Linked DNA regions of Cricetulus griseus. The protein of the gene in region 1 purifies or fractionates together with the protein of each later gene. This does not show direct contact. Links are inferred from orthologs where the notes say so. Each region holds a gene or a part of one and is shown in the gene's direction. Other genes may lie near its edges.

Evidence for each region. Proteins that work in one complex are often made in the same cells at the same time.
Region 2: the proteins of Mapk7 (region 1) and Pfdn1 purify together in Homo sapiens (affinity purification with mass spectrometry; 3 studies listed by BioGRID and IntAct, with this or other methods). This does not show direct contact. The link is inferred for Cricetulus griseus from reciprocal best matches to the Homo sapiens genes MAPK7 and PFDN1.
Region 3: the proteins of Mapk7 (region 1) and prefoldin subunit 4 purify together in Homo sapiens (affinity purification with mass spectrometry; 3 studies listed by BioGRID and IntAct, with this or other methods). This does not show direct contact. The link is inferred for Cricetulus griseus from reciprocal best matches to the Homo sapiens genes MAPK7 and PFDN4.

The regions. Positions count from the first base shown.
Region 1 is NC_048600.1:75,491,068-75,496,318, reverse strand, and holds the end of Mapk7 (mitogen-activated protein kinase 7), read left to right. Parts: intron 1-722; coding exon 723-1,801; intron 1,802-1,904; coding exon 1,905-2,560; intron 2,561-2,886; coding exon 2,887-3,020; intron 3,021-3,128; coding exon 3,129-3,282; 3' UTR 3,283-3,581; downstream 3,582-5,251. Other genes in the region: Mfap4 (microfibril-associated glycoprotein 4), read right to left, coding at 4,384-4,631, 4,998-5,180. UniProt on the Homo sapiens protein: Plays a role in various cellular processes such as proliferation, differentiation and cell survival. The upstream activator of MAPK7 is the MAPK kinase MAP2K5.
Region 2 is NC_048595.1:201,063,155-201,069,710, forward strand, and holds the start of Pfdn1 (prefoldin subunit 1), read left to right. Parts: upstream 1-2,236; 5' UTR 2,237-2,334; coding exon 2,335-2,367; intron 2,368-6,151; coding exon 6,152-6,318; intron 6,319-6,556. UniProt on the Homo sapiens protein: Binds specifically to cytosolic chaperonin (c-CPN) and transfers target proteins to it. Binds to nascent polypeptide chain and promotes folding in an environment in which there are many competing pathways for nonnative proteins.
Region 3 is NC_048596.1:275,034,881-275,039,557, forward strand, and holds prefoldin subunit 4, read left to right. Parts: upstream 1-2,255; coding exon 2,256-2,657; downstream 2,658-4,677. UniProt on the Homo sapiens protein: Binds specifically to cytosolic chaperonin (c-CPN) and transfers target proteins to it. Binds to nascent polypeptide chain and promotes folding in an environment in which there are many competing pathways for nonnative proteins.

The DNA.
Region 1 (5,251 bases):
TGGAACTCACTCTGTAGACCAGGCTGGCCTCAAACAGCAATGCACCTGCCTCTGCCTCCCGAGTGCCACTACCACCTGGCCCACATCTTTGAGGTTTCAGGTTGACTCTTCTGTATTGGAATAAAAAAAGGGAGGGGATATATTTCTTTATTTGGGCATGCCAATTTTGCCTATGTAGTAAGTTTAAGGCTAGCTTGGACTACATGAGACCCTATCTCATAAGACAAAACAAAAGACCCAGACAACAACAAGAGAGTGAGAGAAACAGAACAGGTCCAGATTTTATAAGATAGCAGACACAGGACATTGTTGTGTCATGATACCTTCCTATTCTTATGGCAGATATAACTAATTAGTCACAAAATACTTTTTTATTTGTTTGTTTGTTTGTTTTTTGAGACAGGGTTTCTCTGTGTACCTTTGGAGCCTATCCTGGCACTTGCTCTGTAGACCAGGCTGGCCTCGAACTTACAGAGATCCGCCTGCCTCTGCTTCCCAAGGGCTGGGACTAAAGGCGTGTGCCACCAACGCCCAGCCAACTTTTAAGCTTTTTGTGATGTAGAAAAATCTAGAACCTGATGCTATTTTTTTTTATATCATCTGCTAGTCCTTTAGGGTTTCAGTGTAAGGCCATAATATCTAGAATTGAGAGGAGGGCTAGTGAGGATTGTGCTTGTCCCTGTAATATGAGACCAGCTCACACCTTTTGTCACCATTTCCAGCTATGTAGTACTGGACCTCATGGAGAGTGACCTACACCAGATCATCCACTCCTCACAGCCACTCACACTGGAGCATGTGCGATACTTCTTGTACCAGCTGCTTCGGGGCCTCAAGTATATGCACTCTGCTCAGGTCATCCACCGTGACCTTAAACCCTCTAACCTTTTGGTGAATGAGAACTGTGAGCTCAAGATTGGTGACTTTGGAATGGCCCGTGGGCTGTGTACCTCCCCTGCTGAACACCAGTACTTCATGACTGAGTACGTGGCCACTCGCTGGTACCGTGCCCCTGAACTCATGCTTTCCCTGCATGAGTACACACAGGCTATTGACCTCTGGTCTGTGGGCTGCATCTTTGGTGAGATGCTGGCTCGGCGACAACTCTTCCCAGGCAAAAACTATGTGCACCAGTTACAGCTGATCATGATGGTGTTGGGAACCCCATCACCAGCTGTGATTCAGGCTGTGGGGGCTGAAAGGGTGCGGGCATATATCCAGAGCCTGCCACCACGGCAGCCTGTACCCTGGGAGACAGTATACCCAGGTGCTGACCGCCAGGCCCTCTCACTGCTGGGCCGCATGTTGCGATTTGAACCCAGTGCCCGGATCTCAGCTGCTGCTGCCCTTCGTCACCCCTTCCTGGCTAAGTACCATGACCCTGATGATGAGCCTGATTGTGCCCCACCTTTTGACTTTGCTTTTGACCGTGAAGCCCTTACTAGGGAGCGCATTAAGGAAGCCATTGTGGCTGAGATTGAGGACTTCCATGCACGACGGGAGGGCATCCGCCAACAAATCCGCTTCCAGCCTTCTCTGCAGCCTGTGGCTAGTGAGCCTGTGTGTCCAGATGTTGAGATGCCCAGTCCCTGGGCTCCAAGTGGAGACTGTGCCATGGAGTCACCTCCTCCAGCACCACCACCATGCTCTGGCCCTGCACCTGACACTGTTGATCTGACTCTGAAGCCTGCGCCCCCAGCCAGTGAGCTTGCCCCACCAAAAAGAGAGGGTGCCATCTCAGACAACACCAAAGCAGCCCTCAAAGCTGCCCTGCTCAAGTCCCTGAGGAGCCGACTCAGAGGTGCTTTCATGGGTCTAGCAGCTGGCTGGCTAGTGGAGTGGTAGACAAGGACTCTTGAACAGAATTGTAAGCCCTTACCTTTCCCTGTCCAACTGCCCTGCAGATGGCCCCAGTGCACCCTTGGAGGCACCTGAACCTCGAAAGCCTGTGACAGCTCAGGAACGCCAGCGAGAGCGAGAAGAGAAGCGTAGGAGGCGACAAGAGAGAGCCAAGGAGAGGGAGAAGCGACGACAAGAGAGGGAACGCAAGGAGAGAGGAGCTGGTGCCTTGGGGGGGCCCTCTACTGACCCTCTGGCTGGACTGGTGCTTAGTGACAATGACCGAAGCCTGCTAGAGCGGTGGACTCGCATGGCTCGGCCTCCTGCCCCAACTCCAGCCCCAGCCCCAGCTCCATCCCCTGCCCAACCTGCTAGTCCTCCCACTGGCCCTGTATCTCAGTCTGCTGGTCCTCCTCTACAGCCTGCAGGCTCTATTCCTGGTCCTGCCTCCCAGCCTGTTTGCCCACCCACTGGCCCTGCTCCCCAGCCTTCTGGCCCTCCTGGACCTATCCCTGCCCCACTCCAAACTGCCCCTTCCACTAGCCTTCTGGCCTCTCAGTCACTTGTGCCAACTAGTGGGTTGCCTGGCTCCAGTGCCCCAGAAGTTCTGCCTTACTTCCCATCTGGCCCACCACCTCCAGATCCTGGGGGCCCCCCTCAGCCTTCTACATCAGAGTCACCAGATGTCAACCTGGTGACCCAGCAACTGTCTAAGTCTCAGGTGAGAAGAGAGACAAAGGCCTGGGTACCTTGATCTGGGTCCTGGAAGGTGGGTTTGGGTTACCATGTTGGATGGAAAAAAGTAGCAAAGGGATTGTTACCTCTTTGAGCCTGCCCTCTTATCACAGTGAAGAGGTTGTTGGGAAGTAGACTCTAGAAAGTGGCCTAGAGACAGCACCAGTTGTCTTAGTACTTGATTTTTGATTTTGAGATCGTGTTCATGTTCTGGGATATTGGTCAGAGTGGTGAGTAATAGCAGGCTGTGTCCTGCTGACCTTAATTTGTCCTTCCTGGAACCTGTGTTGTAACCTGTTATTGTCCCTGCAGGTGGAGGACCCCCTGCCTCCTGTGTTTTCAGGCACTCCAAAGGGCAGTGGGGCTGGCTACGGTGTTGGCTTTGACCTAGAGGAATTCTTAAACCAATCTTTCGATATGGGTGTGGCTGATGGGCCACAGGATGGGTAAGATGGTTGGACTGAGCTCCTGGAATGGGGCTATGGCAGGGTCCTTGGATGGCTGCCCAGCTGGCTCAGGCTGAGAACACCCATCCCAATTCCTTTTTCTTGCAGCCAGGCAGACTCAGCTTCACTCTCAGCCTCCCTCCTGGCTGACTGGCTTGAGGGCCACGGCATGAACCCGGCTGACATCGAGTCTCTGCAGCGTGAAATCCAGATGGACTCCCCAATGCTGCTGGCTGACCTGCCTGACCTCCAGGAGCCCTGAAACCCACAGCTTGTGCCTTGCTGTCAGGACAGACCCAGCTTCAAGGTCCAGGGATGCAATCCAGAGGCCTGCAGCCTTGGCACTGGCAGGTGAGGCTCAGCTTGAGTTACTCTGCAGGTTCATCTCAGACCCACCTTTCAGCCTTAAGCAGCCACCTGAGCCACCACCGAGCCATAACAGGATTGGGAGACTACTCCCCCTGAGCAGTCTTCTCCAGTATTGTATTTTTATTGTTGTAATATGCATTTGTTTTGCCATCAAAATGAGGTCTGTGAAATATAAGGTTTCTTTTAAGCTGACTGTGTGTCATTTCTGGACCTGGGGTAAGAACACCAGCAGTAGGCGTATAAGGAAGAGCCAGGTGCCCGCATTATTTGGGGCCAAGTAAGTGTTTGTCCACAAGGTCACTCCATCAGATCCTGAAGGTTTATTGAGACCTCCACTTCCCACCCACTCCCAGCCCCACAAATTATTCCCTGCTGCTGCCTTTCATGACAATCCTTGGGGCAAGTAAGGGACCTAGTTAACATGCCTATCTTGCCGGTGGCTACTTCAGGGTTGATGAGTAGTGGTGGTGAATGTTGTTTTGGCATTGAACTCTGAATAACTAGTGAAGGCAGGTGGAGTTGGGCTCCATGGTGCTCACTATAAGGGAATGAATTGGTGAGGGGGAGACCAAGGGTGGGAAGTATTCTGGGTGGGAGTGCTGGGGTGTAATAGTGGCAAATGCCATAGGTGCTGCATTATGCCGTCTAGGGTAGCCCCAAACAGATGGGTCTGCAGTAAGGGAATTGGCTGTGGTGGAATGCAAAAGCTGGCAACTAGAAGGTAGCTTTTGGCTTCCAGCTGTCAGGAAGGAGTAGAAGCAACTTGGAGTTTTTATAGGGTGCAGCCAGATCCATGCTGGGATGGCTGGGCCACAGAAAGGACTAATGGGCTGCTGACAGCCTAGCCTCAGGAAAGCAATAGGGTCTGGACATGGGACAGGGATTTGCCAGGGCATTGCTGGTGCTCAGAAAGCAGCAGAAGCAGTGTCTTGTGGGTATATCTTGGAGACTTGGGGCTTCTAGGGGAGAGATGGGGCCTGCCTGAGCCAGCTCCTCAGGCCCGACGAATTTTCATCTCAGTACGCTTGAGGGAGTAGTAGAAGCCTTTCCACTGGGCCCAGTTGATGCCATTGGCATAGGAGAGGTGGGAACCACCCAGGTAGAAGCCGTTGAGATTGGCGAAGTGGCAGCTTCTGAACCAGAAGGCCCCTGAGGAGAGGGCTGCACAGTTCTGCACGAAGAGGTCCTGGTCTCTGTCGAAGGTGGAGAACTTCTGGCCACTGTGGTAGGACAGTGAGTCACCTGGCAGGAGGGAGAGAGGATAGAACTACTGAGGCCAGGAGCAGAGCCTTGTGCTGGCAGTCTAAGTGACAGCAGTTGATGGATGACACTGGGGGACAGAACAACATCATGTGGCATCCTGTTGGGATGGAGGCACCCTCCCTGAGCCACAAAGAGAAACAGCTGTTCTGGAGCAAGGCCAGGGTGGCTGTTCCCTAGGGCTGGGGTTCAGGTGGCTGGAGTTAGTCTGGAGAGAGCTGTGGCTCTTCCAAGTCCAGAAGGGTTGAAGGAGGATCTTTAAGGAGCCAATGGGGCAGGGGCCAATCCTATGTTATTGTGCCCCGCCCCCTGCCCTGCCACTGCCTCTGAAGAAGCTGATAGGGGTACCTGCCCCGCCATCCTCGAAGCCAGCCACGTAGAGGGTATAGCCATCCTCCTCAGCACTGACGGCGTTGGGGGAGATGGAGAAGTCAACATACTTGGCATAGGCTGTATTGTTCTCAAAGTCTTCCAAGTCCACTCGCAACTCATACTTCTGCTTCAGCGTCAGGAGGTGCAGGTTCTGCAGCCCTAGGGATGGGTAGCAGCTGGTTAGCAAAAACTTGGCTGAGGGGCAGCCCCTACCCTGTGGCCCCACCTTA
Region 2 (6,556 bases), on another chromosome or scaffold:
GGAGACTGAGGCAGGAGGATCAGCTCAAGGCTATCATGGGCTACAGAGTGAAATTCTGTCTCAAAAGAGCAAAATCAAAAACTAAATAAAAAATTAAAGTTTAGAGTTATTGAAGTACGAGTGGAATGATAGATGAGACACAGTTGAAGAGACAATCCTTAAATTGGTGAAGTGAATTGTAGAAAGCCATGGTCTAGCTCAGAGAGATAGGAAGTGTAAAGCAGAGGTTGAGAGACATGATGCTTCAACATACTTCTAGACAGACACTGGCTGTACAGTCTCTAGGATTACACAAGTCCTCATATTTAAGAAGTATACAGTATGCCAAGAAGGAATGAAAGAATGACAGAACCAAAGCCAAAATATATATCTGTATAAGATCCCAGTTGGTACCCTGCCACTGTCTCTTTCTTGGCATGGTGTCCCTGTATAAATAGCCTACACTGTCCTGGAATCATGAGCAGACTGTGATGGGCGATGTCCTTCTGTATATATGTTTTTCTTATTGGTTGATGAATAAAACACTGGTTGGTCAGTAGCCAGGCAGGAAGTATAGGTGGGGCTACCAGATGAGGAAAAGGCTGGGGAGAGGACGCAGAGAGAGAGGCTGCCAGGGATGCCATGTAGTCGCTGAAGGAATAACATGCTGGAGCCTTTTTTGGTAAGATAAGGCCATGTAGAAATACATAGATTAGCAGTTATGGGTTAATAATTAAGAGAGAGTTAGCCAGTAAGAAGCCTGAGCCATTGGCCAACAGTTTAATAATTAGTGTCTTTGTGTGCTTATTTGGGGCTATTCAGTAGAGGGACCAGGCAGAACAGAAACCCCAACTATAAGACTGCCCTTAATTCATGGTGATCCTTCTGCCTCAGTTTCCCTAGTGCTGGGATCACAGGCATAGACTAACATGCTTGATCCTCATCTATTATTTTTTAGTTTTTCTTTTTGAGACAGGTCTCATGTAGCCCAAACTGACCCCCAACTCTTTATGCTGCTGAGGATAACCTGAGCTTTTTTAATTTTTAAAAGATTTCTTCTTCTTCTTCTTCTTCTTCTTCTTCTTCTTCTTCTTCTTCTTCTTCTTCTTCTTCTTCTTCTTCTCAATTTACTTATTTTATATGCATTGGCATTTTGCCTGCATGTCTGTGTGAGGGTGTCAGATCCCCTGAAACTGAAACTACAGGCAGTTGTGAGCTGCCATGTGGGTGTATTGAACCCATGTAGGAATTGAACCCTGGTCCTCTGGAAGAGCAGTCACTGTCCTTAACCACTGAGACATCTCTCCAGCCCCATATTCTTATTACTTTTAATTATGTATTCATGTGTACATGTGGGTGTGTGAGCATATAAGTGTAGGTGCTGCAGAGGCTAGAGGTGTTGGGTTTCCCTGAAGCTGGAGATACAGCTCTTTGTGAGCTATCTGACATGGGTACTGAGAGTCAGAGTACATGCTCTTTAACTGCTGACCTATTCCTCCATTTCCTAATTGTAATTTAAAATGTGCATTCACTTATTGTATGTGTGTGTGTGCCTAAGCCTGTGTCGGGCCACAAACATAGATGTCAGAGGATACCTTGTGGAAGTCAGTTCTCTGCACCACTTGGGTTCTTGAGATTGAACTCATGTAGTCAGTCTTGGGGGCAGGCACCTTTATTCCCTAGGCCGTCTTGCTGATCTGACCTTGGACTTCTGATCCTCCTGTCTCCCTCCATCTATCTAACGTTTGGTGCGCAGGCCTGCACCATCACACTTATTTCATGCAGTGCTGTGGAACAATCCCAGAGTTTCAATTGTGCTAGGCAAGTACTCTGCTAACTGAACTACATCCCCAGGCAGAAATTATATGTGGCTTGTTTTGAAAAGCACTATCTTAGAAAATCTTTGAGGAGGCTCTAGCAGAATTAAGATCTTTCTGGGTGAATATTCCAATCACATCTTCCAATGGTTTTACTGGGTTGCGGGAAGCTGGGGGCTTTATACATCTCTTGACAGCACCGGGATTACCTGAAGGACTGAATGGTTGACGGCTGTGATGACCAATAACACCTGTTTCAATTCTGCAGCCCAAAGATGTTTGTCTAATTGTGTGTGGGAGCTAAGAGCCACACCTGAGCAGTTACTCCTCTATCACAGTTTATCGGAATTTCCAGTGTTTAGGGTCACTTGTGTCATGCCGGGGTGGTGGAGTAGGGTAGATATACCGAGTGAGAAATCTGGGTTGGAGTTTGATTTACGCGCAGGCGCAGAAGGAAGCCTCGCAATTAAACCTGAAAGCGCCCTTCCCCCATCCCTTTCCGGCTTGCGTCTAACGCAGGCGCATAGAGAGCTCCAATATGGCGGCCCCCGTGGATCTGGAGTTGAAGAAGGTAACGGGGGCTGTGGAGCAGGCTGAGCCTTCTGTTTGAATGATGAAGCGAGTGGGGACAAGAATGAGAGGGGGACTCGAGTCTCGCTGAAGGAAGGAGACTGTAGGGGCCGGGGCTGGCTCCCTGGAGTCCTGAGACGGGGCCGCGCGGCTTCGGGGTCCCGGGGGCTCTCGGTGGCAGGGGCTGCTCCGGGCCGGTGGGCGAGCGGGTTAGCGGGCTGCGGTATGCCCTCACGTCCTGCACTCGCATCCTCTCTCTGCATTTTGGAGCCATCAGGGACCCACTTTCAAAGCAAGACCGAAGACAGCGTCTCACACGGATGCCCTTCATAGTGCTCTTTGGAGCCGAGGCACCAACTGTAATTCGGTTTCCTCATTTGATTTGAAAAACTTCCAAATTTAACATTTGCTTTTAGGTCACTTATTCTGTACCACTCTTTGAAACGTCCTTGTTTCTATACCTCAGAAAACCAGACACTGTTATACCAATGCTCATGTCAAGGCCTTAATGCTCCTTGCCTATCTTCTTTTTAAAGAATTTGCCTCCGCCCCCCCCCCCCCCCAATCCAGTAAGGTTTTCCGAAGGCGTGGTCCGAGGAATTGGATTTTTCTTTTTGCTCAATCCGTTTCTTATAAATGGTTTTTGTTTTTGCTTTGTTTTTTAGAGACGGTATCTCAGTGTGCCCTAGATTCGTTTGGGACTTAACTGTGTAGCTAAGCTGGCTTTGAACTCCAGGCAGTCTTCCTGCCTTAGCCTCTTGAGGTCTGGAATTACAATCGTTTTTGGTTTTCGAGACAGGGTTTCTCTGTGAACAGTCCAGGCTGACCTGGAACTCACTCTGTAGACCAGGCTGGGCCTGGAGCTCACAGAGATCCGCCTGCCTCTGCCTTCGGATTGCTGGGATTAAAGGCTTTCGCCACTGCCGGGCTGGAATTACAATCGAGTCAAACGCTGGTTTATAAAGCGGGTTGTTAATTGGAAACATTTTGCCACTTAAAAGTCTTAGGATCCTAACAATATTAAGACCCCTCTGTGCTTTCTTTGTGGAGAGTTGCCTATAGTTATAAAGAACCCTATAATTCATTCAGTTTAAATCTACTTTGTTTTCTTTCCTTCTTTCTTTTTATTTATTTATTTTTTGGTTTTTTGATGCATGGTTTCTTTGTGTAGCTTTGGAGCCTGTCTTGGAACTAGCTCTTGTAGACCAGGCTGGTCTCGAACTCACAGAGATCCACCTGCCTCTGCCTCCAGAGTGCTGGGACTAAAGGTGTGTGCTACCACTGCCCGCTAAATCTATTTTTCTAGAAAAGTAAACTTCTAGTGTTTTTAAGTGTGTGGTTTGTTTGTTTTGTTTGATCAGGCCCTGAAGCCCTAATGCTCTTTAGTGTCACTATCTCCTGAGTGTTAGGATAACAGACGTTTGCTAGGGTCACTGGCAAGAAACATCTTACAAGATTTGAGCCCCAGGCAGCAAGATGGGCCACTTGCCCGATAGCCTGGCTGTTTAAAGTTTTGTCCTTGGAACCCATGGTGGAAGGACAGAACTGCTCAAAGTTTTTTCTATAATGTCTCAGACTCACACTCCAGCACACTGGCCTATACTCAAACACATAATAAAAAATACATTTCAAAAATGGAGTCTAGAATTTGGTATGATCATAACATTTTGATCAGTAGGTTCTGTAGGTGAGCAACTTACTTTAAAAAGTTGTGTATTTTTATGTGTGTACATGTAGACACACCTGCAAATTGCTCAGGGGAGGTCAGGGAACAACTTTTAGGAATTGGTTCAAGTGGGCCCTGAGGATTGAACTCTTGCCTTTAGACAAGATGAGCCATCTCACTGGCCCAGATTCTGATTTTGTTTTGTTTTCCCCTCAGAGACAGGGTCTCATGTAGCCTGGGCTGGCCTGGAACTTGGCTATGTAGCTGGCATGTACCACTACACCCAGTTTCCCCAGTGCCAGAAATTGCTCTTAGGGCTTCCTGCATACAAGGCAGGGACTGTTCATCTTGTGTTTTGAGATGACCACTCATTGGGACCTAGAAGATTGCCACTTTGGCTAGATTGTCTAGCTGGTGAGCTTAAAGGATCCTCTTTTCTTCCTCTGTCTCCATGCCTAGCATTAAACAACAACAACAAGTTGTATTGTTACGTATGTAGGTGTCTTGCCTGCATGACTGTATAGCATGTATGTACAGCCCCCTCAGGGCAGAAAAGGGCCTTGGATTCCCTCTGAAACTGTAGTTACAGGTGGTTGTGAGCTGCTATGTGGGTACTGCGAACCAAACCTGGGTCTTCTGCAAGAACACCGAGTAGTACTCTTAACCCCCCCTGAGTCATCCCTCCGGCTCTCAAACTTAACTTTCTTTGTGGGTCCTGGGGAGTGATCCTAGGTCTGCTGACTGAACATTTCCCCAGCTCCCAGTAACATCTTAAGTAGCTGCCTCTGTTTACCCTTTGCCTAAGCAATAGGACAGCTGAAATAGCTGTTATTGCTAATAAAAGAAGCCATTTGTTATTGTTCCGGGGATGCTAAGTATGTTCGTCTTTTTTTTGGTGGGGGGGTTGAGACAGGGTTTCTGTGTGTAGCTTTGTAGACCAGGCTGGCTTTGAACTCACAGAGATCTGCCTGCTTCTGCCTCCTGAGTGCTGGGATTAAAGCTATGCACCACCACCTCTTGGCTGCTCTTTGCCATTCTTTACTTAAAACATGTAGACTTAATCTTATACAGCATTCTCTCATGCTGTAAATCTCACCCCCCCCTTTTTTTTTTTATAAAGCTCTGATTAGCTGGAACTCCCTATGTAGACCAGGCTGATCCTGAAATTACAAGAGCTCCTCTTGCCTCTTCCCCTTTAGTGCTGGGATTAAGAGTGTGTACCTCTATCCCTGGCTTGTAATTGTGGGCACACACATGCTAGTGTGTGGTCATTATGTGGAGGTCAGAATATAGTTTTGGGGGTCTGGTTTTCTCCTTTTACCATGTGGGTTCAGGTTCCAGGTATGTAACTCAGGTTGTTAGGCTTGGTCGTAAGAAACTTTACCTGCTGAGCAAGCTCATGGACATCTGTCTGTCTGTCTGTCTCTCTATCTTAATTTAAAAAAAAAAGTGTGTGTGTGTGTGTGTGTGTGTGTGTGTGTGTGTGTGTGTGTGTGTGTGTGTTTGAGTGTGAGTGCACACATTGAGGTTGGGGACAACTTGAGTGAGTCAGTTCTCTCTTACTATGTAGCTCCCAGGGATCAAATTTAGGTCATCAGGCTTGATGTCAGGTGCCTTTATCTGCTGAGCCAATCTCACTGGCCCTAATAAAATTCTTTTTCTGACAAGGTGTCTTATAGCCCAGGCTGGCCTTGAATATCTTGTGTGCTGTGTCCTGAACTACTCTGTCCTCTGTTTCTGCCTCCCAGTTGTTAGGATTACAGGCATGAGACACCAGGTCTGGGTCTCCAGCCAGGATTTTGAAGTAATGTGAAGTGCTTTGAATAATTCTTGTTTTGGATCTCTGAGCTTTATCCCAAGTATTTTACTTATTCCTTTTATTATTATTTGGTTATTTCAAATACAATTATTTAATAGGCTTTTGCTTTGCTTGTTCATATTGATCACATTGTCTGTGAACAGGGTACATTTAGAATCTAGCATAGTATTAGAATTCTGTTGACTCTCATTTATGTTTATTTTGGTGAATTTCACAGCTTTGGTTAGTATGTTCTGTTTTAATAAATCTGGATTTGACTTAAATGTTTCCATTCTAAATCACGGACTTGTTTTTTCTTAGGCCTTCACAGAGCTTCAAGCCAAAGTTATTGATACTCAACAGAAAGTGAAGCTTGCAGACATACAGATTGAACAGCTAAACAGAACGAAAAAGCATGCACACCTTACAGACACAGAGATCATGACGCTGGTAGATGAGACTAACATGTATGAAGGTGTAGGAAGAATGTAAGTAAAATACAGCCATATTTTCTTGTGAGGGCCTTCTTGTGAATTAAATGGTGGAATTATCTATTTTAAAACTTACAAAAGCTTTCTTTCTTTCTTTTCTTTTTTTTTTTTTTTTTTTTGAGACAGGGTTTCTCTGTATATTCCTGGCCATCCTGGATCTCACTCTGTAGACCAGGTTGATCTGCCTGCATCTGCCTCTCATGTCAATGGAGGCTTTGGATTCCCTAGGCCCCTA
Region 3 (4,677 bases), on another chromosome or scaffold:
GCTGGGCTTTAATTTTGTAGATAGAAGACCTGAGCCCTGTGAAGGCCACGCTCAGAGTCCAGTGCATGCATGGCAGATGTGCAGTGGCAGGCAGGGCGGCTGCTGGAGGCTCGGAGAAGGCAGTGGTCTTGGTTGCAGACAGCCCCACGTGGACCCTGCAATTGCCTTCATTTCCAAGTCCGATAACCTACAGGAATTATAACATGACGTGGGGCAGATTGGAGTAAGCCCACACTTAACCTTGACCCACAGCGGGGATTAAAGCGGTTCTTACAAAATGGGAATCGGCACAGATTTTTCGTATGGTGGAAGGCAGCAGTTGGATTTTGTGTTTGCAGCTCCGACTTGGCCCCAAGCAGCAGTACCACAGAGCAGAAGCTAGGCTGCAAGAACCAGAAATGTGTGGCTTCTCTACAGAACGAGAAGGGGAGAAGGGCTCCGCGCTAGCTGCCCACCGCAGGCCTGACCTGTTCCCAGATGGTTCTGAGTGAAGCTTAGAATCATCTTAGGAGTAAGTTAGAAATGCAGAAAGTGAGGCTAGTAGGCCCTTCATCTGCTTTTCGGGTCTTCAGAGAGAGGGAAAGTAGTAATTTTATTGTCGGAGGTCAAAGTTTAAATTTAGTTTATATCGGATTACCCAAATACGCTTTTGTTGAAGTTAGAGTCTCCTGTGCAGAGAGAATGGGACTGTAGTAAAAGGGAGCAAGGTGAGAAGTAAGCCCATTACAGACCAACTCTTCACTCTAGCCCACATTTAAGAGCCATCACCCTCCCACAGGAAGGAACCTCACAGAACACCCTGTCAACCCCACGGCTACCCGTCCTGGCCCTCCATAGCCTTGCTAGGTATTGTAGCACTTAAACTAGATATTTATGAATGAATTTAATTTTGCCTGTTGTGATAAAATTTAAATCCCTCTAGGGCAGAGCTCTGTCTGTTTCCCTTGCTGCTGCACCCTGACCCTGGCTTATAAGGAGTGTTCACTGAAGCTCTGTGGGACAAACGAAGGTTCTTTAGCTCTTGTGACCAGAAAGTAAAGATTTCACAAAACAAGGGGTGCTGATGTTGAGGAAGAAAGCCAGGCCCTTTGGGCTCTGAAGAAGTTACAGTCATTTGTGGGGTTTGCAGGAGAAGGTAGGTTGGGGGGCAGCTGTGAGACCATGAGAAAGGTCACACCTGCGTTAAGGGCTGAGGCCTGAGTTAGGTGTGCAGCTAGAATGAGGGTTGCACTGTAAGGGCACTGTCTGCGAGGTCTGTCTTGCACACATCCTTTTAGGGCAGGGCCTGAAGCTGAGCAGAGCAAAGTGATTCCTTATGGGTGTGGGCTGCGAATGGCCAGCAGCAGGGACATGCGTCCTCCAGGAGTTCTCATGCACCACACCGAGCAAGCCTGTCCACTCTCTCAACAAGAATCAGCATCCTGAGGGCTGCGAGAGGGGACTTGAAGGCAAGGGTGTGTCTCTCCTCAGAGCTGGCTTTACTGTGCCCATGCAGTCTAAAATGTAAGTTTTAGCAAGACTTGTCTGAGCTCTAGGCATACACGGTGTCACCCGTTTGACTGAGGAAGGCTCTGTGGGGAAACCACAGTCTTCCATTCAGCAGTCACCACAGGTGAAACCGACTGCTCTCTGTGCCTCCCGTAACAGTAATTCCCAGGTCAGTTGCTTTCTTCACTGTGGAACTGGATGCTCGCTGCCCTCATAGTGCAAATGCTGCCTGAGGAGGATTGCATGGGTGCTGTATTCTCCGGGACTCTCAAGGCAAACGCTTGTGTATCCCAAGCTTTGCCTCCCAAGACTGCTGACTTCTCTGCCCCAGGGTCTAAGCAGAGAACCAGAGGCTCTGCCACAGCGGCCATAGGTTAGTCTGTGTGGTGATTAAGCACATCTTGAGTGTCTATAACTACTTCCCCTCTTCAATAAACTATATTTTGGAGTAATTAAAGTTTTTTCTACTTAAAATATTATAAAATAATGTTTTATGTTTTGAAAACAAAGCAGCATGGAAGTCTTTTCCAGACCAGAGTACCATCATCTTCATCTTCCGATTCCTCTTTCCCTAGCTACTGCTGTTGTTCTGTACGTTCTCACTCTTGTTAGTGTTCATTTCCTCATCTTTAAACTGCGCTCCATTCCTTATCACAGCAGAGTGCAAACCTGTGGCTTATGTGTGACAAACACTTTCCTCCCATATATTTTTTTTGTCACACAAAGTATGTGACAAAAATAGCTTCTTAAAAATTTATGAGTCCAAGATGGTGGCCACCATGAAGAAGGCGGCTGCAGAAGACGTCAATGTTACTTTCGAAGATCAACAAAAAATAAACAAATTTGCTCGAGATACGAGTCGAATCACAGAGCAAAAGGAGATAGAAGTGAAGAAGAACCACCTCCAGAATTTAGAAGACACTTTCAACGACATCATGCTGGCAGATGGTGACTGCTTCATGACCCAATACCTGATCAGAGATGTTCTCATTAGCCACTCTCAAGAAGAAGCCCAGGAGATGTTAGAAGAAGCAAAGAAAACTTTGCAAGAAGAGATCGACGCCTTAGAGTCCAGAGTGGGAGCCATCCAGTGGGTATTAGCCAACCTGAAAGTACAGTTATACACAAAATTTGGCAGCAACATAAACCTTGGGGTGGATGAAAGCTAAACATTTTATAATACCTTTTTTAACCTTGTTTAATAAACTTGAATATTGTCTTAAATGGTCGTTTTCCTTCTTTAAATGAAACGAAGGGAAAACCTTCTTTTTAAGAATTTTTCATTTAATGGAAACTTGCCTATTTTCACATGTCTTACTTATTTATTTTATATTTTAAAAAGAAGACAGTATTCATATATGTATTTTGCATAATGATTATATCAATTTTAGGGGCTTTATGTCATGTTATTAAAATCAGTTAAACAGAAAAAATTTGTATATAAAATATAATAGCTATATAATTATTGTAGGCTGTCTACAATAATTATATAGCAATTATATTTTATATATGATATAAATATCTTATTTATAATATATAAACATAACCACTTTATAATTATATAAAACATTAGGAGAAAATTGAGAGAATGTGTCTATAAGGCAGGAATGGACAGCTTTCTAAGTCATAAAACCTAAAAGCCCTTAAAAGAAAGGGGTTTGAATATTTTAAAGCTTAATTACTCCTAAATTTTTAAGAAGGGCCTGGTTTTATCTACGAGATGGTGCCCTTCCCTACTTGCCTGCTTGTGTTACACATGGCTAGGTCCCTGAGCTTGGCTCTCAGAGTGTTACCTGTGGTGTGAGCAGTCAGGGGTGTGAGCCCAGTCCAGGCCCAGAGCTCTCAGAGTGTTACCTGTGAGATGTGTGAGCAGTCAGGGGCGTGAGCCGGGTCCCAGCCTAGCTCAGTACCTCTTCCCTTACTGTTCACCGTCAGGGAAGGGAAAGGCTTTGGATCACACATGCTCAATTCAAGTTCAAGTTTTCCAAGTTCTCAAAGCAGCAGACATCTTTTTAAAACAACAACAACAACAACAACAAACAGCAGCATCAAAAACCCAAATTTGAACTATGACAGGTACAGTCAATGTCTTGAATCACCAATGTCTGCTGAGGGCTGCAGAGCCCTCCTGAAGAGACCCTGGTGACAGGCACCCTTGTCTTGAGAGGCTTGGGGGCTGCGTCATCTGGCTTTCTTTCCAGTATCTATTCCTGGGCTGAGATTTCCTTTAGGCCAGGCTTTAGCCTACAGCAGAATTTTTTATGGCTGTGAGCTAATCCCCTAGCAAACCCTGGTTTATGCAGAAATGCTGACACAGGACTAGCTCTGGTGATTCAGCTGGGGCCACTGGGCTATTTATGACTCCCTGGTGCCAATAGGGAATAATTCTCATTTAGTGTATTCAGTTTCTGTTGGGACAGGGGTCCCACTTTTTTCCCCAGAGTGACTGATGAACCTCTTGCCCAAAACTGGAGCAAGTTAGGGGACTGTGGTGAGGAGGGCCTGCCTCAAAACAGCTCGAATCACAGTAAGTTACAACCAAGGTGGGCTTTTCATCTGGGATAGCAAGAGTCTTAGAAACAAATAAATATTTTCATCCCCTGTTTTATCTCTGGGCAGTGAGCCCAAAAGGTGTCTTAATTCTACTCCATGAAAGTCAGACAAGCTAAAGATGACCAAATACCCCTTTCCTTGTTCACCGTTTGCACTTACTGCCTTGTCCTGGGCTGCTGGGGTGGGGTCTGAGGGGCTGCTCCCAGGGATCATGAGTCAGGCACAACTGGACTCCAGGATTCTGTGGGATGGGACAAAGAGTGTGACAGATATCTTTGGGGGTGTTACTTCCTGTGCCCAGTGTATTCAGCATCTAGATAGTGGGCTGACGGGTCACAGGACCAGATTGGGCTGGCAGGAGGTGACCAGCTCTTGGCTTATGCTTCATTTCAGCCAGAGCCTGAGAAGTGCCCTGTGGAATCTTACTTCAAGAGAATGCAGAGATGAATTACCCCTAACGGAAACTTACCATTTTCAATGTTTTTTTCATGCACTATTCAGCAGCATCGTGCTCATTTTCGTGAAAAAATGCACGACTAGGCTGCCAGGATCTCCAACTCCAGACCCCTCTGATCTGGAGCCCAAAATAAACCCATGCCTGCTAAATAGTAGCTTCCCACACTCCTGAGACAGACT